Alligator mississippiensis: one gene and its partners. The protein of the gene in region 1 purifies or fractionates together with the protein of each later gene. This does not show direct contact. Links are inferred from orthologs where the notes say so. Each region holds a gene or a part of one and is shown in the gene's direction. Other genes may lie near its edges. The genes, in order: MAX, YAF2, BRD8 and MNT.

What was found.
Region 2: the proteins of MAX (region 1) and YAF2 purify together in Homo sapiens (affinity purification with mass spectrometry; 3 studies listed by BioGRID and IntAct, with this or other methods). This does not show direct contact. The link is inferred for Alligator mississippiensis from reciprocal best matches to the Homo sapiens genes MAX and YAF2.
Region 3: the proteins of MAX (region 1) and BRD8 purify together in Homo sapiens (affinity purification with mass spectrometry; 3 studies listed by BioGRID, with this or other methods). This does not show direct contact. The link is inferred for Alligator mississippiensis from reciprocal best matches to the Homo sapiens genes MAX and BRD8.
Region 4: the proteins of MAX (region 1) and MNT purify together in Homo sapiens (affinity purification with mass spectrometry; 7 studies listed by BioGRID and IntAct, with this or other methods). This does not show direct contact. The link is inferred for Alligator mississippiensis from reciprocal best matches to the Homo sapiens genes MAX and MNT.

What each region holds. Positions count from the first base shown.
Region 1 is NC_081825.1:171,679,898-171,687,507, reverse strand, and holds the start of MAX (protein max), read left to right. Parts: upstream 1-4,565; 5' UTR 4,566-4,669; coding exon 4,670-4,705; intron 4,706-4,850; coding exon 4,851-4,877; intron 4,878-7,610. UniProt on the Homo sapiens protein: Transcription regulator. Forms a sequence-specific DNA-binding protein complex with MYC or MAD which recognizes the core sequence 5'-CAC[GA]TG-3'. The MYC:MAX complex is a transcriptional activator, whereas the MAD:MAX complex is a repressor.
Region 2 is NC_081827.1:58,022,611-58,029,992, reverse strand, and holds the start of YAF2 (YY1-associated factor 2), read left to right. Parts: upstream 1-4,370; 5' UTR 4,371-4,597; coding exon 4,598-4,623; intron 4,624-4,751; coding exon 4,752-4,877; intron 4,878-7,382. UniProt on the Homo sapiens protein: Binds to MYC and inhibits MYC-mediated transactivation. Also binds to MYCN and enhances MYCN-dependent transcriptional activation. Increases calpain 2-mediated proteolysis of YY1 in vitro.
Region 3 is NC_081832.1:79,523,599-79,531,260, reverse strand, and holds the start of BRD8 (bromodomain-containing protein 8), read left to right. Parts: upstream 1-4,636; 5' UTR 4,637-4,705; coding exon 4,706-4,724; intron 4,725-4,856; coding exon 4,857-4,953; intron 4,954-5,296; coding exon 5,297-5,366; intron 5,367-6,542; coding exon 6,543-6,592; intron 6,593-7,662. Other genes in the region: kinesin-like protein KIF20A, read right to left, coding at 30-188, 474-639, 723-866, 1,420-1,491, 1,643-1,754, 2,431-2,625, 2,785-2,926, 3,002-3,189 and 4 more. UniProt on the Homo sapiens protein: May act as a coactivator during transcriptional activation by hormone-activated nuclear receptors (NR). Isoform 2 stimulates transcriptional activation by AR/DHTR, ESR1/NR3A1, RXRA/NR2B1 and THRB/ERBA2.
Region 4 is NC_081837.1:7,592,187-7,600,074, reverse strand, and holds the start of MNT (max-binding protein MNT), read left to right. Parts: upstream 1-4,872; 5' UTR 4,873-5,067; coding exon 5,068-5,140; intron 5,141-7,888. UniProt on the Homo sapiens protein: Binds DNA as a heterodimer with MAX and represses transcription. Binds to the canonical E box sequence 5'-CACGTG-3' and, with higher affinity, to 5'-CACGCG-3'.

The sequences.
Region 1 (7,610 bases):
ATATGGAGTCTCTGGGGCCCAGCAACTTCTTGCCTTCAGTCCACCTGCTGTCTAGCCTCCCACAGTACCCATGTTGCCTGGGGTCCCTTATTACACCCTGTATTCTCAAAAACCCTTCCCATCCCACAACTCAAGGCTAGACCCAACTTCTAGCTCTGGAGCTAGGCTTTTAACATACTGGCGTTCCACCTCTTCCAATCACATGACATCTGACTGACCCAGGAGTTTCTGCTTAGTTTATTACTCAGCCTGCTCCTATCTATTGCAGTCTATCCAGTTCTTTAGATACCTGTTTACTCTTCTCTAGCTATCCCTGCCTTAACCGCCCACCAGATTGCAGCCCTCTAACACTGCCTTCTTATTCTCTTAGCAGCAGGGGTTAGGGAACCCTGCTACAATTTGCAGACACATGGACTGTTGCCGCAGGTTGGCTGCTCCATGAGAAGCCCCCACACACTGCTAATCTGATCTTATGTCTGTGCTCAGAGGAGGCCTCCATGTCTCCTTGTAGGTCTTTTCCAGTCTCCTGCATGCAGTGCAAACACTAGCACTACACCAAGAGCTCAGGAACTGTTTCCCCAACTTCCCCCTCCCCTCCCCAAAACAGCCTCAAACTCTACTTCTGTTCCATTTCACACCCAACAGTCATGCTTGGGTCCCAGCTGCCCCATCAGATACCATTCAGAGGTTATTCAGGGGCAGATACAGAGGGAGTGCAGTGGGGTGGCTACATCCCACCACCCCCTTTTGGCCTGGACAGTGCTGCTAGAGCCAGTCTGGGGAAAGCAGCCAGTTACTGCTGCATTTCCTTGTTGTTCTGGGGGTGGGGGAAACTTCAGAGCTGTTCCTGTCTACTCCAACTGGACTGTTGGGGTATGGGAGAGGGCTGGGCTCACCTAGGGCAGTGACAGCAACAGCAGCTTCCTTCCCCTGCTCTTGTGGGGTCTGGGAAATTGGACCCCCCCCCCCCATTCTAACTGCTGTTCTCAGCTAAGCCCAGCCCCTGCACAGCCCTGCAGGAGTGGGCAAGAGCAGCTCTGAAGCTTTCCCCCACCCCCACCCCCACCCCAACAGCAGGGAAGGCAGCATGATTGGAGGGGGAAGAAGAGAAGGAGAGTTTGGGGGATGCTCACCTGCTCTGGGACCTTTAAAATGCTCCCAGAGGCTCCTGCAGTGCTGTTTCCCCAACAGGTGGGTTGTGGGAGTGGAATCTGGGAGTGGGGGGTGCTCAGCTGGCTGCTCCTGAACCCCACTTTGCCAAATCCCAGACCCGCCCCTGAGGTTATCTGATCCTATCTCAGCATCATTGCCATCCAGGATGCACTCCCCAGCCAGCTCAGCTCCCCCAGATACATAATTTGCGGCCTTAACTAAGCTATGAAATGATACGGATGATGTTGCAGAGCTGACCTGCTTCTACTCTGCACAGCTTGGTGGCATCTGTCTGTATGCTTCTACTTCTACCCTGGGCTGCAGATGGATTTTGGGCACAGGACAGCTGGCACTTGAAAGGACTTGGGCCTCATCCCACTTGTGACTAGCTACCTGGCCCCCAGCAGATGCAGAGAAGATAGGGTTGAGGTGATGCCTAGGAGATCACTTGGATCTCATATAAGCCAGCAAAAGCTGGGCCAGAGCAAGTAACAGGAGTTACTGGCCCAGTGATGGCCAGGCAGCACAATCCCAAGGGAGGAGATGGGATTCTCAGAATACCTTGGCTGGGACAAAGGGAGAGTGACTGTGACATGGAACCTGTGCTACGCCAATCTATTTGGAAGCAGAATAAAAGGCCTGAAGGGTGACTATCTCTTACCACACAGGCTGCTGAGTTGAGTCTGACTCACAGGAACCCTGAGAAACACTCCCCATGGAAATGGTTTCTACAATTGCAGGTGTTCTCTTCTGGCCCTGCCATTGACAAAGACTTGTGTGATCAGGGCCGGATTAACACATACTAGGCACATGCCTAGGGCCCTGGGCTGCAGGGGCCTTGGTCCTTTCCTCTACGGCAGCAGCACAAACGGCCCCATCTGCCTCCCTTCCCCTCCCCTCTGCCTGCTTTGCCGTGGCTATGATCTCAACCAACCTGGGGCTCACGAGTTTGTTTGCGTAAGGAACACTAAAGGATTAGTCCAGCCCTGCGTGTGGCCTCTGCCAAGTCAGTCCTGGGTCCATGCCATGCTGACCATAGCAACTAGGGGTGCACTGATGGACCTTTTTGGGGCCGGTACTGATAGCCGATTTTTAAGGAGGCATATCGGCCGATACCAATCCAATTTCCAATACGCAGCCAGGCAGCTTGAAGAGCCGGGTCCAGCTGCTAAGTCTGTTGTGGTGGAAGGGGGAGTGGGGAGGGAATGGGCATGGAGGGGCAGATCAAGGCCCCTGTGGTGAGGGAGGGAGAGAGTGGGGCTGGGGCAGGGCAGGGTGCGGGATGGGAGTCATAGCTCATCTGGGAGGTACAGGAAGGGGGGGTGGGGGCAGCTCCTGCTGCTGCACACACCCTGGGAGGGCATGGGGAGCACGTGCCCCTGGATCTGTGTGGGGCCGGGCAGAGTGGGCTGCAGCTGCGGGCCGGGGTTGTGCTGGGCTTTTCCCAGCAAGGGCTGGGCTAGGCAATGGCAGCTATGGTGGATGGGCGGAGCTGCAGCCACCCCAAAATTTGTCATAGCCACTCAACCCCCCTCCCAGCAACACTGCCCACCCTGAGTGCAGCCTAGCCCAGTCCCCACTGGGAAGAGCCCGGTGCAGCCCTGGCCCCAGCCCACAGCTGCAGCCTGCCCTGATCAGGGGGCCACAAGCCCCCCCCCATGCCCTCCTGGGGTGCATGCAGTGGTGGGAGCAGCTCCCCCATCCTTGCACCCCCGAGCCCCAGCTGTGTCCCACACCCCACCCTGCCCCAGCTGGGCAGCACCTGCTGCAGCCCCACTCCCTCCCTCACCATGGGGGCCTTGATCTGCCCATGCCCCTTCCACTACAACAGACTTACCAGCTACACGCAGCTTTCCTTGCTACTGAGCTGTGCTCCTTGTTACCTACATGCTGTGCTGTGGCTGTGGGCACGCACAGAGCATTAATTGGCTACATCAAGCCAATTTCCAATACAGTCAGTTTTCTTTATATCGGTGCCAATCCGATACTGGACTGATGTATTGGTGCAGCTCTAATACCAACAGTGGACAACGCTCTTTTTCAATCATAACATGAAATGTTAGAGAAGCCTGTTCTGGTAGCACAGTTAACTTGGCCAACCAAATGCGCAACTCCTTGCTTAGGTGATGGGCAGGTGGGGCAGGCAAGAGCGCTGGTGTCCGCCCTGAGAGCGCCAGCTGGGGAGTGGGGGTGCCAGGAGAAGCAATCCCTGCAGTCCTCCCACGGTCCATCGTGCTGACCACAGCCCACCCCGCTGATCCAGAAGTGTTGCGCGACCCGGAAGTGCCAGCAGCACAGCACTTCTGGATTGGTGTGATCAGCCACGGGGGGACCCCCTTGATCATTGACTGGCTGCTGTTGCGCTAAGTGCTCCCTGCCCCCGCCTGGGGAGGCACCAGTCGCCCATGCCCTAAGCTGCCATCTTTGCCAAGGGCATCCCAGGATTTTGCTCACCACCACTGTTACCCACCATCACCCAGGCCTGCCCCCTTCAACCTGATGAACACCTGACATGCCGCTAGTAAGCAGTGATCACCCGCCCCTCGTCGGAAGAGAAAGTCCCAATCTAGAAACCTCCAGTCCCCGACCCGGGCGGCAGGTGCTTCGTTCAGGGCGGGAAAGGGCGCTGTCCAGCAGCTTGCAGCCCGCGGGGCCTGCTGGGGGCGGACGCGCAGGCGCCACGTGACTGCGCACAGCCCTGCACAAGGCCGGGCCGGAGGCAGCCGCGTGCGAGGCGAGAGCTGCTGCTTCCCGCATGCAGGTCAGTCTGGGGGGCATGTGCGGCCGCAACTCGCCGCCGCTTAGTCCCGGGCAGGGGGCACGTGCCCCCAGACGTGCGCGGGGCTCCCCGCAGTGGGCAGCCCACCGCGGCCTCCGCTCCGGCAGGGCAGGCGGTGTGTGCCGCTGTTCCCGCCCGCACGCCGTGAGTGAGTAGGAAGGGCGCGTAGGGGTTCTCGGCCAAGTCTTTCACAACTCTTGAACGCGAGGCGCTGGTTCCCGAGTATCTGTTCGGAGGGGCCTGTGCGCTCTCCCTCCGCCTGCACCCGCCTCTTATGCAGGAGGCTTGTCCCCCGCGCGCCCGGGGCAGGGCTCGGAGCTGCGAGGGAGGGAGTGAGGACCCGTACGACGCCTTCCCCCCCCGAGCGGAAGCAGGGCCGCGCCGCCCCATCCACGTGTCCTTCCCCGGCTGCTGGGAAGCGGAGTCCTTCCTCCTTCGCCGGGACTGCAGCCCCCAGCATGCACCGCGCCCACCACTGCGCAGGCGCGCGGGGGCGCTGGCAGGGACCGGGCTGCGCGGGGGCCTCCGGGAGTGGTAGTTCGGCGGGGGCGGGCGCCGGTGGCGGCCGGGCGGCCCGAACTCCATCCCCCAGCGGCCCCCGCGGAGCAGGGGCGGCCGCGGGGCGGCGGCGGCTGCGCGGTGCGGGCGGCTGCTGCGGCTGCTGTTGTTGTGCTGCCCGTGGCCCCGCTCGGCTCGGCTCGGCTCGGCTCGCAGCGCCCGCAGGCCCGGCCCGGCAGTATGAGCGACAACGATGACATCGAGGTGGAGAGCGACGTGAGTGCCGCACCCCCCCCACCCCGTCGGCTCGGTCTGGTCTGGCCCGGCCCGGCCCGGCTCGGCTTGGCAGTGCCGCGGGCGGGCGGGCGGGCGGGCGGCGGCGCAGTAACGCGTGTGTTTCTCTGTCTCTCTCTCCTTGCAGGAGGAGCAGCCGAGGTTTCAGTCTGCGGTACGTGCCTTTCCTTGCTTCCCGCCGGCCCGGCCCGGCCCAGCAGCGCCGCCGCCCGGGGTGGGGAGGGGCCGGGGCGGCGGGGGCCTCGCCCTAGACCCGGCGTCTGTGCGCGGCGCCACGGCCGCGCGTCTGCATGGGCCGACCGGCGGGGGCGGGGGAGGCGCGGCCGCGGGCAGGGAGGGCCGTGGGGTGGGTCCAGCTGCGGGTGGGCACTGGCGTGGGCTGCACAAGGCACCGGGTGCCGTGTGCGTGGGAGTCCCGCCAGGGTGAACCAGCTGGGGCACGTGGGGCAGACCAGACTGGCAGATGCAGGCACAGGTGTGCGATGCTTGGGGAGACCCTCGCCTGCAGAGTGCACGTCTTCCTATTGGGTGGGACGGCGCACATCTGTTTGTGCTAGGGGGGCTAAGCTGGGCAGGACATGTGACAGGCTGGGATCCTTGCTGCTTGTGTGTGACAAGAGCAAGCGTGCTTGGGGCAGAGGGACCAAGGACAGGCAGGCATGCGTGGGCCAGGGCAGATGGGTGAGCTGCAGAGAATGGTCTAGTAGGATGCATTTATGTGCTGGGAGGGAGGATGTGTGCTGGAAACATCTGGGCAGAGATTGAGGGGGGGTGCAATGCTCTGGGTTGGGCCTGGTGGCGGGGGGCAGAGGTCAGATGGAAGCAATCTCGCCTGGCATGTGAGTGGTCTCAGCCCAGCACAGGATGGGGGCAAGAGGTGGTGTGCAGGTGGGCATGTACTGATCTTAACCAGTAATGCAGGTGCTGAGGGGGAATGGTCTGTGCCAAATGTGTATGTGGGTAGGAGGCAGCAGAGCAATCTAAGCTGTGTCTATGCATGGGCAGGGATAGTGGGGGCAGTGGTCTCAGTGAGGCATGCGGTGACCCAAGTTGAGGCCAAATTATGGGTGATGCGTAGTGGGTGCACGTGCATCCCGTGTGAGTGCTGGTGCACCCCCTGACTGGCTGCACTCGCCGCTCAGGTCGCTGGGGGTGACACCACAGAGGGCTCCCCCCCCCCCTGCTTCTAGGAGCACCGCAGCTGCTTTTTCATAGATTCATAGATGTTAGGGTTGGAAGGGACCTCAATAGATCATTGAGTCTGACCCCCTGCATAAGCAGGAAAGAGTGCTGGGTCTAGATGACCCCAGCTAGATACTCATCTAACCTCCTCTTGAAGACCCCCAGGGTAGGGGAGAGCACCACCTCCCTTGGGAGCCCGTTCCAGACCTTGGCTTTGTGACAGGTCACTGACTTGTCGCTGGGGGGGGCCACGTGCCCCCCTCACTAAGGTGGCACCAGTCACCCATTGGCAAAATGGTCTCAGCTTGGTGTAGGGATGGGCTGACATCAAAAGGGGCTAGGCCAGGGTTGTGGGGGGAAATGGGCGCTGCCAGGTTTGAATATGGGAAGAGGTTGGGGGGAGGATGGTCTAGGCCAGGTATGTATAGGCAGGGATCTGGGGTGGGGAGGGAAATATTTTGGGCTGGGATTGTCCCTGTACATCAGGGTGCAGATTGTTTCTAGGTGAAGGGGCCAGCTGTGTTTGAGTGGGATAGAGCAGTGGTGGTGGGGTGAGTGTTGTGGGGCACATGCAGGGGTAGGCTGCAACGGGAAGAGTTGTGGGAGTAGGCTTAAGTCAGGTTGGTCTGTTGGGATGCATGTGGACTGGATTGTATGTTGTAGTGGATCTAGGGTAGGACAATGTGTGGTGGGATTAACTCTTGGGATTGATTGAGGCAAGGCATGAAAGTGAGTCGGGGAGGGAGTGGTGTGCATGGGCCACGCTGGAGGTTAGGTATGGAGCAGGACTGGCAGTGTGCTGTAGGCTGTGTCTACTCTTTCTTGCTATGTGTTCGCTGTTTTGAGGGGAGAGGCTGCTGTAGACTGTCAGCTGAGACTATAGGGGAATTGCAGCTGTTGTAAGAAGCAGGTGGTGTGAGTTTTGGACGTGGAGCAGGGTTGGGTGCCACGAATGGTGAGGGTTTGTGCAAGGGTCCATCTCTGAGGTTGGGGGACCCAGGTGCATATTGGGAGCTGCTGTGCTGAGATCCTGGGCTCGTGGGATTGCTGACCACAAGCAGGAGCCCTTTCTGAAGTCTGCCTTTCCTTGTGGCAGGCTGCCAGGCGGGACCAAGCATGTGCCAAGGCCTGCAGTTTTCTATGGAATCCCAGAGCGAGCATGCACGTGTTGCATCCCCTTGATCCGTGCCCTCAAGTAAAAGGTTTTCTTCTGCTTAAGACTCATCATGGTGCAGACACAGCAATGTCCTGTGCTATTGGCAGCAGTTCAAATATATAGGAAGTGGAGGAATTCTCTTCATTTGGGCAGGTTGATTTTCAGTGAGTTATAGGGGGACACCAAGTTTAGAACCAGTTTGAGTCGGTTTTAGATTCTGAGTGTTCTAGTTTGGCTGATACATTCCTCTGTGTCCCCAGCCTCAGAGCAATTGTGGTGCTGCTCTCCTCCAGCACTTCCAAAAACCTCCAGTCTAGATAATCTAGGTTGCAAAGTCCAAATGCTGGTGAATAAGGCTGGCTTGTTGGGTGACGGGGCCACAGTGTTTGACCACGGGCTCCCAGGGAGCTGCTTTTCAAGAGCTGGTATTCATTTGCAGAGTTTGGTATTTCTCAGGCCACCTGCTTGATTGTTTAATTTGTAGGGATTGCCTAGACTGTGACACATCTGGGCATTCTGAAGAGTTCTTGTGGCTCTGCACTGAGGGTC
Region 2 (7,382 bases), on another chromosome or scaffold:
TTTCAAAATCATTGCTCTCTCAGTTGGAAGAAAGAATATGTTCCTATGTATAGTGGAGCAAGGGCAAGAGGGAAAAGGGCACAAGGAGTCAGGTTTTCCCATTGTTTCTAATCTTACGATTTCTTCACAGCATCCAGGTATCCAGTTGAGCACTGGACCCCCCACTACGTATCCAGCTCAGCAGTGGAGCCCCTAAGCTGTATCCCTCATGCAGACTAGGCTCTGTGTGACAGTATAAGGGAAAGAACAAAAGCAAAAGAACTGGGAAGGGTAATAGGGTAATACGGTGAAGGGTATGGAGGGCAGGAAGAGTGATGGTGTTGGTGGACTGTAATGGAGGAGGGCTGGAAGAAGTCAGGACAAAAAAAAACACCAAAAAAACCCCACATACCAAATAGAGCAGGATATTCAGACTTAAAATTTTTTAAAAGGAATGAACTATTATCACTGCTGTACAGAACTGTGAATGCTGGCTTGGGGGTGGGAAGGAAGCCAGGGCAAGAGACTCTGGATGGTTTTGGAAGTTTAAAGTTAATTTGAATTAACTGTGTGAAGACAATAACTTCTGTTCCCACAGTTTTTAGGAGTCCCATTCAGGGATGAGGATCCCATGGCAATATTTTTTTTTTTTTATTTGTACTTAAGAATCCATAACAACAAAAATATATCTGTGCGTGTGACCCACCCAGCCCTAGATCTCACCCAGTTGCTGCTTCCCTCATCACTCTGGCTGCAAGTCTCCAGGCTCCCACATCCTTCCTCTGCCCTTGCTGCAGGGAATGGGGACCTGAGGGTGAGCTAGCTTACAATTTCAGATCTGCCTCTCCCTCTTTCAGATATGCCTCTCTCACCTATAGCCCACAATTTCAGATCTAGCCTGAGGAGTTAAGGTGCAGGGAGGGAAGGGAGAAGGTACACTTGCACCAAGACCTTGCAGCTATGGCAAGGAGCAGTCATGGGCAGGTCTTAGCGCTGGCCTACCGTGGACCTGATGTAACACAGGGCTTTCTCGGGGCTGGTCTGTGATTGGCCCACCCACCTGTTTCTGGGCCAACCGCCTGCCTCCTCATCTGCCACACCTTGATGATACATAATTATGGTGTTAATTAGGCGGAAGGCTGCCTATTCTTGCCCTGATGCCAGGGGGCGTTATCTGCAGCTCTGTTCCTCCCCTACACCACAGCCCAAGCCTCACAGATGGCATCCAGGTTAATATTACTCTTGGCCTCAGACCAGAACAAACCAAGTCCAAAGTTGGGCTTTACACACATGCACATTCATGTCACCTCCCCTCTCACAGGAGGCCTCTTCCACTCCGCCCCTCTCTCACCCAGGCCTCTGGCATACTGCTCATTACCAGGCCACACTCCATTGCCCTGCTCCTCCTCGAGCAACTCCTCTGGGCTATCAGGCTTTGCTACTCGCACACTGGCCTCACCACGCAGCCCCTTCAGTTCCCATGAGTTCCCCTACTTTGCATGGTCCGGCATTATGCCAAACCCTAGGCTAACTGCACCCCATACTAGGCAACTCTATACACTCACACACATACTGGGCTCCCAGCCCTCTGGTTTCCCCCTCACTGGGGCTCCACACCCACCCCCTCACTGGGGCCACAGGGCTTCCCTCCCCAGTGGAGATTTAAGGTGGCTGCAGCCATGCCTAGCCCTGTCTGGGTCTTACACCATCCTTGGGCTCAGGTGGCCATAGCCATGCCTGGCCCCCTTGTACCCATAGTATTATGGGGGCTAGGAGTTAAGGCACCCCAACCCACCTTTCACCGGGGTGGTAACTGGCCTGGTATTTCCTGGGGGTTCCTGCACCACCAGGCCACCCACTCCCAGCAGGGTGCAGTTTTAGGTCATGCCCAGGACCAGGAACCTCCAAATCATCCCTTTAAGCTCCTGCCTGTACCACCAGGATATTACCTACAGCCTTGCAGCCAGGCAATGTTTCTATCTAGCCTGCCAGTACCGAACTGCTCTGTTTATATAGGCAGCCAGAGATCTAAAATGGCCGCCACAATCAAGCACCTGCTGACTGCTTGTCTCAGCCCTTAACGTGGCAGACACCAACAGTGCCCTGCCACACCTGAGCTGAGGCATTCTGGCTTACTGCTGATATTAATATATGCAGAGATGATCAGAGTGGGGTGTGGGGCCCAAGGCAAATCAGCCTGTTCAGGGCCCTACCCCAGGACGCAAGGAAGCCAGCAGCAGATTAGGCAGTGTGGGGACTGCCAAATGGCCAGACATGAAGCTGGTGGCAGCATGGAGTCGCCGCGGCCGCTCCGCCTGGCTCTGTGGGCCCCCCCCAGAGCATGGGGCCCAGGGTAGTTGCCCCAATTTGTGTTGCCTAGGGATTGTCCTGAATATATGAATGCTTTTCACCCTAATGCAGTTCCATGGCTAGCTTCCTAATGGACCTTCACGGGAGTGGTACCATTTTTATCATGGAATGGGCTAGCTGTTACAAATATCATTCTAGAATAATGTGAAAACTTGATTAAAGAAGGAAGGGTTTCCACACCGATTTGAAATGATCAGATTCTGAATTAGTTTAAATGTCATCTGGATTGTTATTCCATTTGTCATCAACAGAGAATGCTTCATTCTCTGTGGCTTTGTGTTCTTTGTCCTGAGCTTTGACCAACATTGTTCCAGAGGAATGCAGCTATCTTGGAAGTTCCTAGCCCTAGATGGTAATATAGTCTTGAATTTACTCAGGGCCAGATCAATTAATTCCTCAGAAGAGAATAACTGGGCATGTCTACATGTTCATTAATGCACCGTAATCACAGCACATTAAGTTTACTACCTGTAATGATAGGTATTAAATGTGCTGTAATTGATGCTACCGCGCATTACAGCAAACGCTTTTTTGTGATGTTAAAGTGCATTACACTAAGTATATTGGGCATTAGCGCAGTTTTGCCAGCCACGCTAATGCGCACTAGACTTAGTCTAAAACATATTAAGATCTTGTGTAGATGCGCCCACTAAGGCCTTGAAGTAGCAGTAGTAGCATACTGAGCCAGCCCTTTGCCCACCCCACAGAGAAGGTGAGAAGCCTCATTCTGCACTAGCTATGAAACCTCCACATTGCTTTCAGATTTATATTCAGGGAAATACCCTTATCCAGTCCCATGGATACCCTTATCCAGCTGACCAACCCATGGATTTCTGAGGCCTGGTCTTTGCATGAGAAGGAGAAGTAAAGTTTGAAGAGGTGGAAGGATTGGATCTTTTGGACTGAATATTGGCTCTCTGAGGCTTGGCCTGCCATCAGCCTTTATACAGGACACAACATGACAGCACAGACTGTCTTAAATAGTAAACACAAATGGCTGTCACAGGTATGCAAGGTGGACAGTACAGCAATGTGTTTACAGCCTGCATGAAACGCACGTGCCATCACTGCAGAGCAGGTCTGTTCTCTCACCTACTGGAACCCCAGAGGAGCAGGGCTGGAACGGACCCCCAGAGGTCACCTCGTCCAATGGTTTTCAACCTTTTTCCATTTGCAGATCCCTAAAAAATGTTGAGTGGAGCCCTTGTGACTGCTGGTAGCCATGTTTATGGGCCCCTCAGACATTGAAAACCACTGGTCCAGCCACTCCCCTGCCTAAGGCAGGCCCACCCCTACCCAAACCGCCCCACCCCAACTAGGGTTCCCAACTCTGTTTGCATCTATTCCAGGAGGTGCCTGGAACACCCACATGCCCATGACAGACAATGTGAACTTGTGTGTATCAGTTACACATTACCGTGCATCATTGGCGATGTGTAGGGGGAGGCACCAGTGGCCTGCGCTGTGCGTAGAGTTGAGGTCAGGGAGGCAAATGCACATTCCTATTACATTTAAAAAACCCACTGGGGCCTACTGTATAAGTCAGATTCAACATTTAATATTTAGCTTAAGGAATGCCCTATCATTTATCTCCCAGGTGGCTCTCCTGGAGATCTGTATCTAATCCGGGAGACTCTAGGGCAATCCTGCAGGGTTGCCAACCCTAATCCCAGAACAATTTAGCAAAACAAGCCCTGCCACAAGACAGGACACCCCAGCGCAGCCCGGGACAGCAGGGCCACGGCGCGGGCAAGGGCTAACGTGCCCTCCAGAAACCCCAGGAAGAGGCCCCACAGCCCGAGCAGGGGGGAATCCTCCCTGCCCTCCCCAGGTCTCAGCAGGGGAGCGCCCGCTCCGGGGTCCCGCGCCCGGGCGCAGGGCGGCCGTGCAGGCCTCCCCCTGGGCGGGCCGGCGGCGCTGACTGCCCCTGCGTGCGCTGCTGCTCCGCCTCCTCCGGCGCTGCTGGGCTGCGGGGGGCGCTGGTTGGCGGCGGGCGGCACGTGAGGCGGGAGGGGGCAGCGGCGGCGGCAGGAGTTCCCCGACAGCTGGAGGTGGCGGCGGCTCCTCCTCCCCGGGGCCCGGTGCAGGCAGAGCCCCCTCCTTCCCTCCCTCCCTCCCTCCCTCCCCCGCCCGCCCGCCCGCCCGCCCGCGCTCGCTCGCTCGCTCGCTCGCTCCTCCTCAGTGACACATACACAAAGGGCCGCGCGGCGCGGGGCCGGGCCGGGCTGCGGACGCGTCTGGAGCCGGCATGGGAGACAAGAAGAGCCCGACCAGGTAGGGGCGGGGGCCGCGCGGGCGGGAGGCCGGGGCCGGGGCCGGGGCCGGGGCCGGGGCCAGGGCGGGCGGGCGCGGGGCGGCTGGGCGCCGCGCCTGTCTCCCTCCCGCTGTGGTGTGCGTTGCAGGCCGAAGCGGCAGCCGAAACCCTCTTCGGACGAGGGCTACTGGGACTGCAGCGTCTGCACCTTCCGCAACAGCGCCGAGGCCTTCAAGTGCATGATGTGCGATGTGAGGAAGGGCACCTCCACCCGGTGAGTACCGCCCGCCCCGGCCCCGGCCCGCGGGACCCCGGAGCGCCGAGCTGTGCCGCCGCGCACAACAAAAGCCGGCGGCGGCCGCGGGGGCGCTGGGAGGAGGGGGGACACAGCGGCCTGGCGCGCAGGGCGAGGCGGATCCGGGCCCCGGGGCTGCTCCCGTTTCCCCTCGGATGCAGCCGCCCCTGCCCTCTCCAGCCCCATCCCCCCACCTTGTCCTGCTCATCTGTCTCCCTTTAAAGCAGTGATTCTCACCCAGATGCGTCCTTCCCCCCCAGACGCACCCCAGCGCATTGGATTCTTACAAGGGTGCTGCAGAGGGTGCCCATGGGTGCTCCCACCATCACATGCACCCCAGTGGGTCAGATTCTTGCAAGGGTACTGCGGAGGGTACCCATGGGAGCTTTCCCCTCTATTGCCCTCCCCCCGTGCGTCAGATTCTTCTAAGGGTGCTGCGGACAGTACCTGTGGGTGCTTTGTCCCCCAACAGGCACCCCAGTGGGTCAGAGTCTTGTCAGGCTGCCTCAGAGGGTGCCTGTGGGTGCTTCGCCCCCAGTGTGTCATGTTCTTGCGAGGGTGCTGCGGAGGGTGCCCGTGGGTGCTTCCCCCACCACACACATCCTGGTGCATCAGATCCTTCCAAGGGTGCTGCAGAGGGTGCATGTGGGTGTCCCCCCAACACATGCACCCTAGTGGGTCAGATTCTTGCAAGGGTACAGCAGAGGGTGCCCGTGGGTGCTTCGCCTCTAGTGCATCGCATTCTTGCGAGGGTGCTGCGGAGGGTGCCCGTGGGTGCTTCCCCCCACCACACGCATCCCAGTGCATCAGATCCTTCGAAAGGGGCTGTGGACGGTGCCCATGAGTGCTTCCCCCCACCACACGTGTATCCCAGTGCATTAGACTCTTCCAAGGGTGCCACAAGGTTTCCAAAAAGAAGTTGGCGGCATGGTTGGCAGTCTGGCCTGTTGGGGTCTTTCTGAGCATGCAGCAGCGGAAGAATTGCCCTCCTGTCTTTCTGTAGGCAACAGAGGAATGAAAAGTAAGATGCGGCTATTTCCTGAGGGGCGCCCTGAGCCTCCTGATGGGTGCCTTGAGTCTTAATAAGGTGGAAAGCTACTGCTTTTAAAGGCCTGCCCATTCTCTTGTCCATTTTGTTCCACCTTGTCCTGCAGATTTAGTTTCTGTAGAGGTGGGGAATTTATTCTTTCTGGAAAGGAGCCTAAATGGGCTGAATTATAGGATGCAGAAGCCCCCCACCTCCCTGCCTGGACTAATCAGTGACTTATTAGAAGACCCTTTTTCTGTCAAAATGGTGCAGTGATTTCACTGGTTTTGACCTATGTCTCTGTAGGTTAATATTAGTAGGGTGGAACCTGGATAGGAGGATGGGGAATTCTGCAGAATCAACAAGAATACAATTGTGCAGTCTTTTGTGTGTATAAGTTTGTATGACTATGCTTATTGTTTCATCCTATTAACAAAAACGAGTCTAAAAATAATAGAAACCACAGTCCTATTGAGTGAAGTAAACTTTATTTCAGCCATGGAAATACTGAATACAACTCCATCAACAAACGTATGATAAAACAGTGTTTGAACTACAGAATTGCAAAAGTGAATAGATTAACTTTATATGAAAGACTCATCTGCATTTGCAATGTGCATGTATTAGATTTGTGAAAAACGTAATTCACTTTCTAAAGTATTTTTAATAACTTAAGGTTAGTTTTAAAAAGGTAGTTTGTAGAAGGAATTTTTATGAGAAAATCAGTCAGGTATGGTTGGTAAGCAAAAATACATCTCATGAATATGGTGTTATTCAGTGACAAAAAGAAGATTGGCTTTATTCTTATATCAGTTTTCACAGCTATACCTTTTTTTTTTTTTTTTACAGACCAGTAACATTCAGCAGAAAATTATAATGCTGAAAGAGTGAGTGCAAAATTCCCCAAACAAGTTTAGTACAAATGAAGATGACAGCCTCTCATTGCCTTTATTAAGGAGTCAAAGCCAGTTAAAATAGTGATTTATTGTTCTGGAAAATCACTTGAACAAAAGTATTAATTTTTAAAGGTGGCATTGGGTAAAAGAGAGCTCTGGCAAACAAGTGATATTATACAGTAAAAAAAATGAAGATTTAATTTTGTTTTTCATTATTTAGTGAAGTTTTGCTAGGCACAGTTTAAGTAGATTTATTGATTTCCATTTCCCCCACTTAAAAAAAACAAAGTTGTTTGAAATCTTTTTTCCCTATAAGACTGAAATGGATCCCATTTCTACGTTGTCATTATGCCAAGTCTTGGATTTACTCATACCTGTTAGATACTTGGGTACATGATTCACATGCATGCAGATTGTAAGCTTTGATTCTGAGTTGGTTTTTTGTTGGTAAACCCTTGTTCCCATAGAGAGCTGTTTTTTAATCTGGGGCTTCACGCTGGCCTAGAGATGCATCTACACAGTTCTGTTTAGAATCCAAAACAAAGTCACATCTGAACATTT
Region 3 (7,662 bases), on another chromosome or scaffold:
CCAGAGGGTGCAAGACAGACACCACCCACCTCCTTGTTATACAAGGACACATCTGCTTCATCTCCACCCTCTTCGTCAGATTCTATTTCCTGCTTTGGGCCTGCTTCTGAGCTCTGGCTAAGACGTCTGTGTTCCCTCATGATGGACTGGATGGATGGGAGAACCACTTTTGCAGGAGCTTGAACAAGCTGAAGAGAAAACAGGTTGCTGACATGAGCCTACATTGCCTGCAGACCTGATGGCATCAGGCCAGTGCTCTCTTGTCACAGCCAGCCTCACTGTGCAAGATGGCAGGACCTGGGAGCACAGTGCACCTTGGCAAGGACTGCCTCACCCACTTGCACCGAAGGGCAGCAGCTCACTTGCATAGGAGCTGGAGGAGGCCTGAGATCCAAGCCAGCCACGGGGTTCATGGAAGATCCAGAGAAGCCCCTGCACTGCCAGGGACCGCAGCACTTGCGCATCTCACTGACCTGGCTGGCGAGTGCTGAGAACTTGGCCACATGCAGGGTTTCATCATACATGGACGCACACTGGCTAATGTTGACGATCATGGAGGAGCGCCCACGCCCTGTGAAGAATCCCTGGAACACACGGGTCAGCTTGCTGTCCCGGAAGGGAACCACAACCAGCTTCAGCCTGTTGGAAGAGCACAAATGTGCTGAGCCTGCAGAAAAGTATGTGGGTAGCCCCCGTACCACCCTGGTCCCCAAGCTACTCACTTGGACTGCTGGTTCTGGCGCAGGGCAGCAATGCAGCGGCCTAGCGTGTGCAGAGAGGTGTTGATGTTGTTTGCCTCCTTCATTCGGTCCCCGCTCTTCTGGTCCTTGCAACGCTCTGAGCCAGCAAGGTCACACAGGGACAGTCTGGAAGAGACCCAGGGCACTGCTGTGATTACAGTCCATGTGTTGTCATGCACCCACTCGAGCCTCAGGACAGCTCAGCCATCTCTTCTAGGAGGTTTGTTTCAAACAACACTACCAAGCTCAGGTCAGGGGCCCAAGCTCACCCAGAAATTCCCTGTTGGGTGCTGCTTTCCAAGCACGGATCCAGCAAGTATGTCCAGCTTGCTGCATCCCAGACATGAGTGTTAAGCTGCTCAGCAGCAGCTGTCATGAGGGCCTCCTTGGACGCAGGGATGGGGTCAGTCAGCCATGCTCATGCTGATGCAGGATGTTTTTGTGCTTCCCAGAGCAGCTTTGTTGCTCTCTCCAAAGGGAGCAGTGGGACACATGCACAACAGCTGCTCTCCACCCCCGCAGTGAGTTCCACCTTCTGAAGGCCCCCAAAGATCCATAACAGCACCATGGCCTGGAGAGCTCATGCAATCTGAGAATCAGAGCCAGGCTAGCAGGGCCCTCAGGTGGTCACTGGTCCAACCCCCTCTTGCTCATGGCAGGATCATCCCCAAGCACTCACTCGCTGATTTTGGGGATCATCTCACTGCTGCCCCCTGTTAGGTGAAGAATCCGGATGGAGAAGATGCTGTGACTGCAGGGAGCAAGGACAAAAAAAAAAAAATACACTTGAATGGAACATGCAACGACCACCTCTGGCACCAGTCCAGCACCTAGTTCCATAAAATGAGCCCTCCCCGCCACAACCTGCTGGAGACCATTCCTCTCCTCTCCCTGCCCCCAACCTGCGGCTGGAGTTCTGGTTCAGGTGAGTGCTGGCAAAGCTCTGGTTTTTCTGACCCAGCTTCAGGAGCTTCCAGGCCTCGTCGGCATCTTGGACGTGGATCCAGTTCAGATCTGAAAGAGCAGACAGGTGGGAAAGTGGTACAGATAGACGTGGTTTGCCTTCCCAGGCCCTGGCTACCTACCGCATCCTAGGCTTCACTGCTGCCAACAGCCAAGCTGAACTTCCCTGCATTGTTTGGGCCTCCTGAGGGATACCAGCCCAAGTTCAGCAGAAGGGAACTGCTGACTGTGTATAAAAATGCCCTAGGGCAGCGTTTCTCAACCCATGGGTCGAGACCCAAAAGTGGATCACAAGAATATCTCAAAAGGGTCACAAACAGACTTAAAAAATGGATTCTCCTTTTCCCACAAGAAAAATGCAGGAAATTGTGGCTTTTCCCTTGCAGAGTTTCAACCTATGAGGAGCTGTTTGGGTCTCTCCCACCATGCCCCACCCCCCTTCCGCCCCCCATAACCCACACACAGGGGGGCTGGGGCCTAGCAGGTCAAGAGTGAGAGGCACTGGGGCAGGACTGGCCGCTGATGTTCACAAATGGGTCCTGGTACAAAAAAGGTTGAGAGCTGCTGCCCTAGAGCAGTATCCCTCCCCCTACTACTGCTTGCTTTCCATGGGCGCTCCTGGCCACTCGACATTTCTCTTATCCACCCCAGGTTACTACTGTCTCCTGAAGGAGAGAGAATGATCCAGCAGGGTCCTTCCCCAGAGTGCTGCTGGGTCAGTTTCTACCTTTGACATAGGGATTGCCGCTCGGGTCTTCACACAGCCGCAGCGTCTGCCTCTTGCGGTTCGGGCCAGGCAGAGCCGGCTCTAGCAAGTCGTAGATCTGTTCGTTGTAAATCTCAAAAAAGGAGACCCATATGGAGAACTGCACGTCTCCCGAGGCATGGAGCGAGACACAGTCTGGATCAGCCCAGCGAGACCCTAGGTTTCAGAGGAGAATCAGAGGGGGTGGTAGGGATTGCAGCAGCCCCAGCAGATTGGAGGAGACAAGGGAGAGTTTCTACCCCTGCCCAAAGTGTGCTTCATCCCCTCCTACCCAGGACTTGCCCTTCCCCCGGCACAGTAGGGTCCCAGACATACTGTCCAGCTGGCTGCTCTCGGAGTGGTTGGCAAATTGGCTGGTAGACGAGAGGCCACCCACTCCACTGTCATAACTGCTGCTAGTGGCAGCCTGGAGCTGGGACTCGGTGTTGTGGCTCCTCTTCAGTGGAGTCAGCAGCTCCTAGGAAACAGGCAGAACGTGAGGCTGGTGCAGGGCACCCTCGTCCTTCCCCAGCGGACGGAGAAGAGCACTCACCTCCCGTAATCCCCCGTGCAGCAAGGCCAGCTTCTTGGTCTCTTCTTGTTGAACCTGCCGGCTGTCTAGCCAGGCCACCTCGCTGGAGAGCGAGGGCTTGAGATCCATGGCTCGGTAGAGCTGCTCTCCCACGCTATTGAAGATGAGTGCTAGGGAGCGGGGCAGAATCCCACCGTCCTTGCTGCTCCCTGGAGGAGAGGACAGCAGTGAGCAGAGCTCAGTCACAACACAGCAGCACTTCTTCCCTCCGAGGAGACCAGGTATGCCAACACCTGATGCCTCGCTCACCCTGGATGGTGTGAGTCTTCCCCGAGTTGGTGATGCCATAGGTATAAACCAGCCAGTTTTGCCCGTTCAGCACATCCTGCACCAGCTCCTTCATGGTCGCGTCAAAGAACGTCTTTTGTCCGACGTCTGGGCCGAAGATCTGCAAACATGATCACAGGGGCGTGCGCGGGACTTCCCTCTCCGGCCTGCTGCAGCCCTGCTCGTCCTGGACTGCCACCCACCTCCGACCCCACCCGAACCCCGGCAGAGCCGGCCCAGGCTGCTCCATCCACATAATCCTAGGAGCGCTAGACGTGCCCGGGGGCCAGCTGCGCCGGGCGCCGACCGGACAGACAGCAAGACGAGGGCTCCTGCTCCGCGAGCACGAGACAACGCGCAGCAGACGGACGCAGGGACGGGGCGGGGGAAGGGAGACACCAGGGGCTGGTGCGGGCGGCCCCGGTGCCGTCAGCGCAAAGCTGCGTGAACGGCAGGGCCGCCGTGCCGCGCCGCGCCCACGGGCACCCACCTACCTGCGTGAAGGTGAACCTGTGCGCCGCCTGGCCCACGCCGCGCTCCGTGCTGCGCATGGCGAAGGAGTCCGCGGGCGCCCGCAGGAGCAGCGTCTCCGGGCTCTCGATGCAGACGCAGCCCTGAGGAGTGCGGAGCCTCAGCCGGGGCGGGGGGCGGGGGGCGGGGGCCCTCCCCCCCCAAAGCCGCCGCCCCCGCCTCACCTGGTCCTCCCGCTTCTCCAGCTCGGCCGGCGTCAGAGGCCGGACCCGCAGGTGCACCCTCAGCCTGGCACCGTCCTCGGGGTCCGCCTGCGGAGAGCGGGGGTCACACACGGCCCCGGGTGAGGCCCGCGAGCGCCGCCCGGCCCCGGCCCCGCCCCCCTCACCTGCGGGCCGCCCGCCGCGGCGGGCCAGATGGCGGAGAAGTCGGAGAGCAGGTCCCGGCGCGCGGCCCGGCCCAGCTCGGCCGCCGTAGACTCGAGCACCGGGGACGACGCGGCCTCCTCGTCCGAGAACAGCGCGGGAGCGAGCGGCGACAGCGCGGCCTGCGCCATGGCGGGGCCTGCGAGAGAGAGCGGGCGGGAGGGCGGGCGGGTCGGTCGGCAACAGCCTCCTCGGCCCCCGGCCGGCCGGCCGGCCGTCCTTCAGGCTGCGCTGAGGCAGTGAAGCCGCCCCCTCCCCCCGGCCCGGGCCGGGCCACGCTGACCTCGGGGGCAGCAGCGGGTGCTGTGGTTTCAAACCGCGCGCTCCGAGCCGCCGGCCAATCAGCGCGCGCTCCGAGCCGCCGGCCAATCAGCGCGCGCTCCGAGCCGCCGGCCAGAGAGAGGCTGGGGGCGGGGCCGGGCAGCCTTCCCGGCAGCCCGCGCGCCGCTTCCCGGCGACCTTTGCGGTGGGCCCCGCCTCTGGCCCGGGCCTGGCGGCGAAGATGGCGGCGGGCACGGGCAGTGAGTGCCGTGGGGCCGGGGACGGGCCGGGGCGGCCCGGGGCGGAGCGGGGAGTTGGCGGGCGGGGCTGGGGGAGCCGAGGGGGGGCAGGCCCTGCCCGCCCGCCCCTGAGAGGCCCGTCCGTCCCCGCAGAGCACAAGCTGCTGAGCGCCGGCCCCACGGAGCCGTGGTCCGTCCGCGAGAAGCTGTGCCTGGCCTCCTCCGTCATGCGGAGCGGCGACCAGAACTGGTGAGAGCCGCGGCGCGGCGGGGGTTGGGCCGTCGTCGCGGTGGTGCCGGCTGCGGGGATGGGGACGGGGACGGAGCCGGGCTGCGGGACAAGCGAGGCGAGGGCCTGGCTTGTCGCTGCCGTTCAGCAGGACTTGAATCCTGGCTCTGTTTGCGCGGGCCGGTGCACGAGCCATCAGCCGTGCTCGGGCTGCGCTTGGGCGCTGGCCAGGCGGCGCCGCCGCGAGCAGGGAAGCTGTTCAGGCGTCGCAGCGGCGTCAGCTCGGCGGGAGCAGCCCGGTGTGGCTTGAGCGGGCGCTGGCGAGGGCAGGAGGCAGGGCTTCACCCGCTTCTCTCCCCCGCAGGGTGTCAGTCAGCAGGGCCATCAAGCCCTTTGCCGAGCCGGGCCGCCCACCTGACTGGTTCTCTCAGAAGGTAAGGGGGAGGCGGAGGCACTTCCCGCTGCCGGGGAGCTCTTGCTCAAGGGACTCCAGTTTCGGCCAAGTAGAGGGGTAGAAAAGTGGCCACTTAAAACGTTAAATAAGACTTTTAATTTAAACGTCAAACAGCTTTGCTTCGTTTTTCTCTAAAACTAAAATTTATATGAAAGCATATGTGAAAATAAAACAAAGTATATTGTTTTATGGTCTAAACTTGATATAATTTGATAAAAGGGTATTAGACAGAGCTAACACATTACACGCATGCTACCAAACTTCAAAGAAAGCAAAATTGCTAAATTTGTGGGAGACGAGTCTTTGGATAAATGCGATATCTCTCATCAGACCAACTCAAGTAGTTGGAAACATTCTTCTAAGCCAGCTTTTGGGCACAAACACCCTTTGTCAGGCTGAGGAAGCATCCGCAGATGGTCTGTGCTCTTCCTGGGTGGAGTGATATTGGATTTACCCAACGAGCCTTGACCTCCAGTGTCCTTAGACCAACGCGGCTAGGTCCAACACCCCTAAATTTGTGGAAGTCACTGTCTGAGCACCTGGCCTTGAGTCTATTGCAGCGCCAGCCAAACTGTTGCACAAGTCTTCTGCAGATGAAAAGAGGTGTTTTTTCTATTTCACTTATTCAGCTCATTCAGTGCGAATAGCTAAACGATATAAATGCAAAATGGGATTATAATTTATTATTTAAATCAAAGATTTTTGGTTGTTGATTTGAAATCATAGTTTAGATTTGTAATTTTAAGCATCATGTTGTATTCAACCTGTTCTATTACTAGCACTGATATTTTGGAGTATGACTGTTCAAAGATCAGGATCTTGGAAAACCAGGGGAGGACGTGTTAATTTGTGGGGCCACCTTTTTAATTTAATTTATTCTTTCCTAGTTTTTATTTGGCATTACAGAGCTGACTCTGTGGTGCTAGCTGACCCTCCTTATAGATGCATTGGGTACACAGCAGCTTGGGAAGTCACTGCAGCTTCCCATACTAGTACTGTGGCAGTATTTTCCTGCTACAGTACTAGTATGGGAAACATGAAAACATGCTCAAAGGCTACCTGGCTGTTAGAGGAGGGAACCCAAGAGCTTTGCCAATAAACTGAATTGGCTGTGTTGACTGTTCTGTGTGCTCTGACTCCCTCTGTTTCTCCTTAGCACTGCGCATCTCAGTATTCGGAACTCCTGGAGACCACAGAGACTCCCAAGTGAGTGCAAAGGCTGAGGCATGTGGTGTCTGCAGTACCTCTGGCGGGGCGGAGGTGTCATCAGTGCATCAGACAGTGCATTGGCTGCTACTGAGCAAGGAGGCGCAGGCACGGCAGAGAAATCTGGTCACACTGTGTGGGTGTGGAAAGTGAGCAGAGTAGGGCCGTTGTTTGAAATTACCCCCTAACCTAACAGGAGATGCTGGGTAGGTAATATTACCTAGAGCGTTTTGCTCATTTTTGTATGTTTTGTTACTTAGCTCAAAGGACTGGACCATTTCAAATGTAAGTGGTTCTAGAACTGGTCATTGTGCTATCCTGAGTGCTCATTCACACCACTCCTGTACTCATCCCTGAACCAGTGGGTTACAGGTATTGAGGCATCTAGGCTGCAGTTCCCAGCACAGCTCTCAGCTTGCTGGTTTGAGGAAGCTAGAGAGGCAACATAGTGTGTGGTAATTTCTATAAAAATGCTGCTTTTTTAAAAATAACTTACTTTTAAAAGGACATAGATTGCATACTAAAATAGCTTTGTTCTTTTTTATACAGCAGATCTTAAAATGAAACAAATTAAACTTATAAAACAAAAATTGTGTGCTTAAAATTACAGCTCAGAATACTGAAAATTTGGGAGAATAGAAGCTAGTAAGAATGATGAGCAGGAGAGCTAATATTTTATGTTGCCTTTTATGTACCTGCAGTATTTGAGGATTGTTTAGGGAGGGGCAAATGAAACCCTATTCTTCTCCTGGACACTAGCTTTGTACCAGTGAAAGCTGTAGTGTTCATCTCTTGCTCTGAATCTGGGCACTGGTGTTGGTAATTGATGCCTAAGGAAATTTGTAGTGTTTGAAAGTAGTATTTATGTCTCTGCTGTGCATAAATGACTGACATGGGCTTCTGAGATGGATTTATACGTAGGCATGGATAGTAAAAGTCTTTTTCCAAAGTTGAATTAACGAGGGTAAAAATTTGACAGGAATGCAAACACTCCTGGCCTAGGTTAGTAACCACACGTGTTTCGTATGAGTAGAGAAAGGCATTTGCTCTGTGAAAAAGTTAGTGTAGAA
Region 4 (7,888 bases), on another chromosome or scaffold:
CAGTCTCCTTGTCAGTAAAACAGAAATAATTATGTTTACCCCAGTAGTGGTGAAGACTGATTAATTTGTATTTCATATTACGTTATAGATGAAAAGTGATGAGTATGGCTGCTGTAACCGATCTGCTCTGAATGTTGAAGATTTCAAGCAGCTTGATAAGGCAGAGTAGTCTTGATGCCAGAGTAAGGCAGCGTGCTGAGGAAGAAGAGAGGATTCTTGGCACGGGGCTATGCCAGAAGATCCTTTCCTCCATTTCTTGAGTTTTCTAGGACTTAGCTGCTATTAGCAAGGTAGAGGTAAAAGGCAACTTTTTCCCTGGTCCTCTGGCAAGAAAAAATATGTTTTGGTGGGTGATTTGGGTTACCTTATTTTTAAGGCAAAGTTTAAAGCTGTGAGGGCCAGCCTTTTTGGTAGACACGCCACAAATTCACCCCAAGTGCAATTCCCGTGCCATTCCCTTACTCAATTGGTTGCATTGCCTTCTGCTCTCTGCCTTGTGCTTCCTGTCTGGTTTGCTGCTCTACTTTCTGCTCCCTGCCATATCTGCCACTGCCTTTCCCCTCTTTGATTTGCCATGTGCCACCCCTGGCTGGCCACTCCTGGTCTAGAGCATTTAGACTTGTATCCACTGTCTGTGATGGGGGAAGGGATTATGTTAGGAATTACACTGTGATGTCAAACCCAGATGTGCCCTTGGGATGGGCAAGGACAAGCACATTTAAAATCATGCTGGTGGGATAAGGCTAACCCTAGGGAGAATTTCTAATACACTAGCTTTGAGCATATGATCATGTCTCAGTCTCCACACAGCCAGTTGTTATCTTACAACTAAAGGAGCTCACATTCTTAGCTCAAATGGTAGATGCAATGAGGTATGCCAGCAAGAGACTGGGTAGTATTTTCTGGCCTCATTCAGGGGAAGTGGGGCAGGATTACAATGAGTTATATTGCATCACAGGTTGGAGATCAGTATCTATTGATTCAACTGTCTCCTGTTAGAGTCTGGTGGTGCTGAGGATCCCAGGTGCATCCCTTACTGATGGCCATGGTGTTGGTCTGGGCAGATGGCCATGGCTCATTATGAACTCTAGGGACCAATAGCAGTTCTGCCATAAAAAAACTGAAGCTTCAGTGCATAGCTGGTGTTACAGTCATGCCATCAGGGTGGTTGCATCCTTTTGGTACCCATCTTATCCCAAATGCTGGATGAGGGTGGGAGCAGCAGCTGGGGGAGGGATTGGGACAAAAGAAAAGTAAATAGATTGGAGGAACTGATAATTGTCTCCAAATGTTTGGTGTGCTTCTGTGGAGATGTGTCAGGTCAGCATTGCTCCATGAAGGTCAGCAGAAGTAGAGTGCTGATAACAGCCCAAGATTTCTCTAATTGCTTCATCATCACTGTAGGGATCATTGTTACTCCTTCTGTCTCTTCTCAGCATAACTTTGCTAAGTGTCTCATCAGTTACGCTTGAAGCCACAAAGGAGCTGCAAAAATTTTACCTCTGGGTCACTGACTTTCTCATCAAATTTTGCTTTTTGCTTTGCTCATCAAATTGTGATTTTGTACTAGGTTGCACTTGTTCCCTTTTCTCCTGCTTGGTCTTTTCAGGCTCAATCTGAAACCTGCCAAAGTCAAAGGGAGTCTTCTGACTGTCTTCACTGGGCTTTGGATCTGATCCTTAGTCCTAAACAGTTGTGTCCTAGATGTCTTCTGTAAATAATACAATAGGAAGAAGGTGGTTTTGCGATATTGTAGAACTGGGAGTCAGGCGTCCCAGGTTCTGTTCTTAGCTTTACAGGCTCATTTTACAACCTGGTCTGAACAGTTTAATCTCTGATCTGTAGGTTCTGTCTGCAAAATTAGGATAGTATTTATCTTACCTACCACTTGAGGGTGTTGTGAGGCTTGTTACATTAACGGTAGTCAGTCAAACGCCTTCTGTCCTCCAGACAGACGGTGCAACAGAAATAACAAGTATTGTTTGATTCTGGTTTCAATGCACAGACAGTAACCTCACGGGGATCAGTCCAGAGGTTTTCCACACAAGAGAAAGGAGATGTCCACAGTGCCCTAGGGATCATTCTGCTGGCTCCTGGTATAACTAGAGGGAGGGGGGAGGTTGCTTCTCAAAGACCGATTTTGCCATTGCAGCCTCTGAGCCTGGGAGTGGATCTATGGACACTTTGGTAACGAGCTCCAAGTTATTTACTGCCGAGAAGCTGACTGTTCAAACCAAACTGTATTTAAAGAGAAGGCATTGCTCCAGGAAGGGGAACGGGTTTTCCCCGGGATCTCTGGAGCACGTACTGACAGCATTGCAGGGAGGCAGGTTTCCCCTGCTTTACCCGGGGCCGCTTGGGAGGCTGGGGCTGTGTCGTGCCAGGGCTGGCGGCTGTCTCAGCTGATGCACGACGCCGGGAGGGGCTGGACAGGGATGATCCCGCCTCCGTCCCTCCCTGCCCCACTTCTGTCGGACCGGGGCAGCGCAGTCTGCGCGGATCGCGCCGGTCCCGCTGCCCGGGAGGGGGGCGGAGGCGGAAAACGTGGCGATGCCGGACCTAGCCCAACCCCGGCGCCGCCTCCCTCGGGGCAGCAAGCACCCACGTGGGCGCGGCGCGGCCTCCAGCGTCCCTGCAGACCTGGCCCCGCTCTCCCCGGCCCACGTGCCCCGCTGCGGGAGCAGCCGGCGGCGAACAGGGAGCCCCGGGCGCCGGGCCCTTTAAAGGGGGCGCCGCGGGCGGCGGACGGAGCAGGGCGCCCATGTGGAGCTGCTCCATGCCGTGTTGTTCTCCCAGCCCATTGGCCCGCAGCCGGGTGACATATTTTAATAGGATGCAAACGCAGTGCGGGGGGAGGATCCGCTGCAAAACTCGGCGCCGGAGTCCGCTGTGCCCGGCTCGGAGGGTGGGAGCCCATCTCTACCCCTCCGCTGTCATCTCGCCGCTGCTCGGCACAGCCCAGCTGCCAGCTCCTAAAGAAGGTTGCCGGTCCTTGCCCTTCACAGCCCCCTCCCTCCTGCAGCCCTGCCCAGGGCGTTGTTGGGGCCCTGGGCAAGAGAGTCATTTGAGGCCCCTTAATGTTGATGACCTAAAAGCAAGTCGGACGTTTTCGATTTCATTTTCACTTCGCCCTAGCCATGAAACTGCAATGAAAGTATCTTAATACAATATTGATCAAACAAATATTCAGTGTAATTTATTTTTATAAAGTGTGGGGCCTCCTGCGGTTGCCTGGTTTGCCCCCTCCTAAGCCCACTACTGGCCTGCCCCTGTCAGGCGTTGGGCCCTGGGCATCGTGTAGCAGTCCAAAGCCCTGTCCAATGCCATGCAGACAAGACGCCCTACAAGTCTTGTAATTAGCTTCCCAGTGGCCAGCTTCCAGTGGCTGCACCCCTGCTTTATGGAAAGGATGCAGACAAATTGGAGAAAGTCCAGTGGAGGGCAGCAAAAATGGTTCAGGGGCTGGGGCACACAACTTCTGAGGAGAGGCTGAGGGAACTGGGTTTATTTAGTCTGCAGAAGAGAAGACTGAGGGGGGATTTGGTAGCAGCCTTCAACTCCCTGCCGGGGGGGATCCAAAGAGGATGGTGCTGGGCTGTTCTCAGTGGGGGCAGATGACAGAACAAGGAGCCTTGGGCTCAAGTTGCAGCAAGGGCAGTTGAGGTTGTATATTAGGAAAACCTTTCTTACTAGCGGGGTGGTGAACCACTGCAACAGGTTATCTAGAGAGGTGCTGGACTCTTCATCCTTGGAGGTTTTTAAGACCCAGCTAGACAAAGCCGTGGCTGGGATGATCTGGTTGGGGCTGGTCCTGCTTTGAGCAGGGGGTAGACTAGATGTGACCTTCTCAGATCCCTTCCCCACCATGACTAACAACAACAAATCCAGGTTGCAATAAAGCTTCCTAAAGACACAGAGTCTAGGCCATAATGGGTTGCAGGAGGGGTGAGATTTTTTTTCCTGGTTGCAATACATCTTGGTAGAGACATAGGGTCTAGGCCGGGGAATGGCAACATTTTTGGACAGAGTGCCAAGAACATCTGCAAACTGGGCTTACAAGATGTTGGTGTGCCAGGAACCACTGGTGGGGGAGCCACAAGGGGCCCGATCCTTATTGTGGCAGGGAGGTGGCCGGGGCTGTGCTGCCATCTGCCCTGAGGTGTGCGTGCCAAGCAAAATGCCTTTGTGACTGTGCCACACTCTGGCACCTGTGCCAGGGGTTGCCTACCCCTGGGCTAGGCCTAGCCATGAGACTTTGCAGGAGGAGTGAGATTTTTTCCCCCAGTCGCAATATATCTTGGTAAAGACACAGGATCTAGGCTTCTCCAGGATGGTTTAAAGGAGGGGTGACATTTTTTCCCCAGTTGCAATATATCAAACTAGCTGGGTACCTAGCTGGGGTCATTTGAGCTTTAACTTAGCAGGGGTCATAAGAGCCATGTATTCATTCCTGCCAGGGGCAGGGGGTCGGACTAGATGATCTGCTCAGGTCCCCTCCAACCCTACATCTATGAATCTATTTTGGTAAAGACACAGGGTCTAGGCCTAGCCAGGACAGTTTGCAAGAGGGGTGAGATCTTTTGTACATATTATTATGACTCTATTTCATGTTCCAGGTCGAATCAGTTCAAAATCATATGGCCTGAGCAGGTGAGATGCGCATCTCCCTGGAGCACCCACTAGTAAAACGAAATCCATAAAGCAGAGAGATTGAAGGAGTAAACCTGCCCTCCCCCCCCCCGCAGACACCTCGCCCGGAGTTAACTCCACCCCTGCACCCGGCGTGCACAGCCCCAGTCCGGCCAGCGGCGGGGATCCAGGCCGGGTTTCCCCCGTCGCCCGCCTGTAGTAGCCCAGGGCAGTGTCAGTCCTTTTTCCTTGTTGTGTTTCTGTTACTCATCGCCATCTTGTTGCAAACCCTTTTCTTGTCTGCAAGACTCGCCGGGGATTGGGCTGGGGGGGTGCTTTGCAGGGGCATTTTTGCACGGGGGGACAGACCAGGCGAAGGAACCCCCTCTATCCGAGCCTCCGGGATTGTGGCCCCTCCACCGCAAGGCAGCCCGAGAGATGAGCATTGAGACGCTGTTGGAAGCAGCCAGGTTTCTGGAATGGCAAGCCCAGCAACAACAGAAGACACGTGGTAAGGGGGGACAGCGCGGAAAACCGGGATCCGAGCTCTTTAAAGACACAGGACACCATTTCCCGCCGGCGGGGAAGCGACAGCGCCTTTCTCGGGGCCCGAGACCCGGCTGCGGGGCCGGGGCGTGCAGGGCGCCTCTTGCTTTTCGAGCTGATTTTGCAGCGGGGGGTGAAACCATCTTCCCCCCTTGAATAAAAGGAGGGTGGCAGGCAGGCAGGGGGCTCGGGCTTTTTTGCGGGGTGGGAGCGGAGCTCGGAGGAGGGAGGTGCTGACACATCCTTGCAAGGGCTCGGGGGAGCCTGGGGTTCCCGGAGATCCGCTCCCCTCCCTCCCCTCCCCCCGGGTCTAGCCCGGCTCGGCTCTGATCCCGGAGCCTGTCTCGCTCGCAGGCTGCAAACAGACTCTTTGATTAGTTTTTCTCTTTGCTTAAACGGTGCAAACAGTCGCATGCGAAAAGTAAGTAGCCATGGAAGCATGGGTTTGTTTTTTTTTCCCCTTTCTTTCCTGAAAACGGGTTTTTATCGTGAATGGGTTGGGAGACACGGGGTTTCAATGCGTCAAAAATGCACCCCCCCCCAAGCTGTTCTCCTGGCCGGCAGGCTCATGCCTGGGCTCGCATTTCCTGGTGGGGAGGATCTGCCTCCGCGGTCGTGGGCTTAGGGCGGTGGCAGGGCTCCAGCGGAGCGGGCTGAGGCTGCCTTTGCATAATGCAATGACACGGAGCGTCAGATGATACGCGGCAGTTCCTCCTCCCTCCCTCGTGTGTGATACATTGCACACGGCCTCCTCCCTCCCTTCCTCCCTCCCGCGTGCGTGTGTGTGTGTGTGCGCACATCCCCTCCCTTCCTGGAAACGTGCAGGGCCGGGGCGCCCGTGTCCCCGGGATCCCTCGTGGGCAGACGGGCCCGGCCCGCGGGCCGCCCCTCCCCCTTGGAATGTTGCGTGTCGCCGCGTTCCAAGCGCCTTAGTTCCAACCGGGGGCGGATGACGTGGCAGGCCCCGCCCCCTCCCACGTGCGCCGGGCCCCGCCCTCCGGGGCGCTGCGGGGCTGCTCCGCCGCTGCACTTTCGTTCTGGCCACGGGCGGGGGAGGAGGGAGGGGGGCTCCCGGCGGAGGTTTCCGCTCTCGGCTTGCCCATGGCAGCTACCCAGTCCTGCAGGGGCTGGGAGGAGGGAGCTGTTCTGGGCCGAAAGACTGAAAATCGAATAAAAAATAGGTCATCCAAGAATATTTGAATATTGCCCCCCCCCCATCTGCACTCCCCATGACTGTTTCATTCTTGCTTGCAGTTAACAAACATCCTGTTTCTTGCTCTCGCACATGCACACAGTTGTGGTGAAATCGATACTGTGTTAACCTCCATTATACTCCACGCTCTTTCGGGCTGATCCAGGGATTCCCGCTTGCTCCTAGGGAGGTTCCCTTTGTGTTTGGATGGGTTTTAAGGGCAGCTTTCAAATCATCTTCCTGGGACCGATAAAGAATTGATGCAGCGTGGGGGGTATTTCACTTTGCTTGTGCTTTGTGGGGGTGGTTTTGGCTGGGGAAATCTCATGCAAATAGCTTCCACCGTGAATCTACTTCAGAATAAAAAAAAAAGAACTCGCAGGGCCTTTCTGACCATTGTGAGAGCGAGGCAGGCCTGCGGAGGTTAAGCAATAGGGTAGGGAAACCCTGCTTCCAATGCATCACCTTTTCAGCAGCGTGGTCCAATCATCCTAATTACAGATAGCAAATACTGCTTGGCAGGGATGCCACCCTTTTCCTGTGTGCCCTCCCTATATTCTTTGTTGACCCTAATCCAATGCAGTTCACTCCTATAAGAACAAGGTTGACCTTTTCCAGAGGAAAAAAGGCAGTGTGTGTATGTGTGTGAGAGAGAGAGAGGAGCTGTGTGTGTGTGGGGGGGGGGGGTGAAGCATTAATACAGTGAATTTCACTGAATTTTAAAACCAGGTTCTTGAAAATTGTGCTATGCAGTCTCGTTTCTCCCATTTATGTGTGTATTTTTCTGTCTGTATGTTGTAAAGGGTGATGGAGCTGTAATGCAGCATTAGCTCAATGACACTGGTGTATACCTGCTGCAAAAGCAAGGATCTGTTCCCTTTGTGTGTCATTGCTGTGGGATGTAGCTGAAAATCTATTGTTTCACTGATGAGTCATGCAGGAGATAGTGGATGTTATGAAGAAGGGCAGCTTGGAGGGAATGGGTAGAAAAGCTTCCGGGATAACTAAGGAAGGAAACTATCCAGTGTAAGCCTACAGACTATCACAACACCCCCTCTTACACTGGGGCTAACATTGCTGAGGCCAAGCGTCACGCCTACACCCAGGAGCAGCACAGCTTTCAAAAATAAAAAAAGGGGTTCAGTTCATGCATCTGCTTCACAGTCTCCATGTTCAGACTTACTCCCTGGTTGGTGTGCATATTGTGGTGCCTCACTAACACACTCTGATCACCGTGTGCCAATAGAACAGGCTGGATGCATGAGGTGTGGTGTGAGGCTGTGCTGCTTATCATGCAATCATCCTCTTGGGTTGGGGGGGTGGGGTATTTTTTTTCAGGCCCCCAGAAATGAGCTAGGCACATCTTCAGAACAAAGATACAGCTCTTGCCACAGCCTGCAAGCTCTGTTCAGCGTGCCACAACAAGCAAAGATCACGTGCACAGGGCAGGGCAATGGTAGTAAGTCAGAAAAGGGGACAAGAGTGGCGCAGGTCAGTGAGGCTTTGAGTCATCTTGGCTGC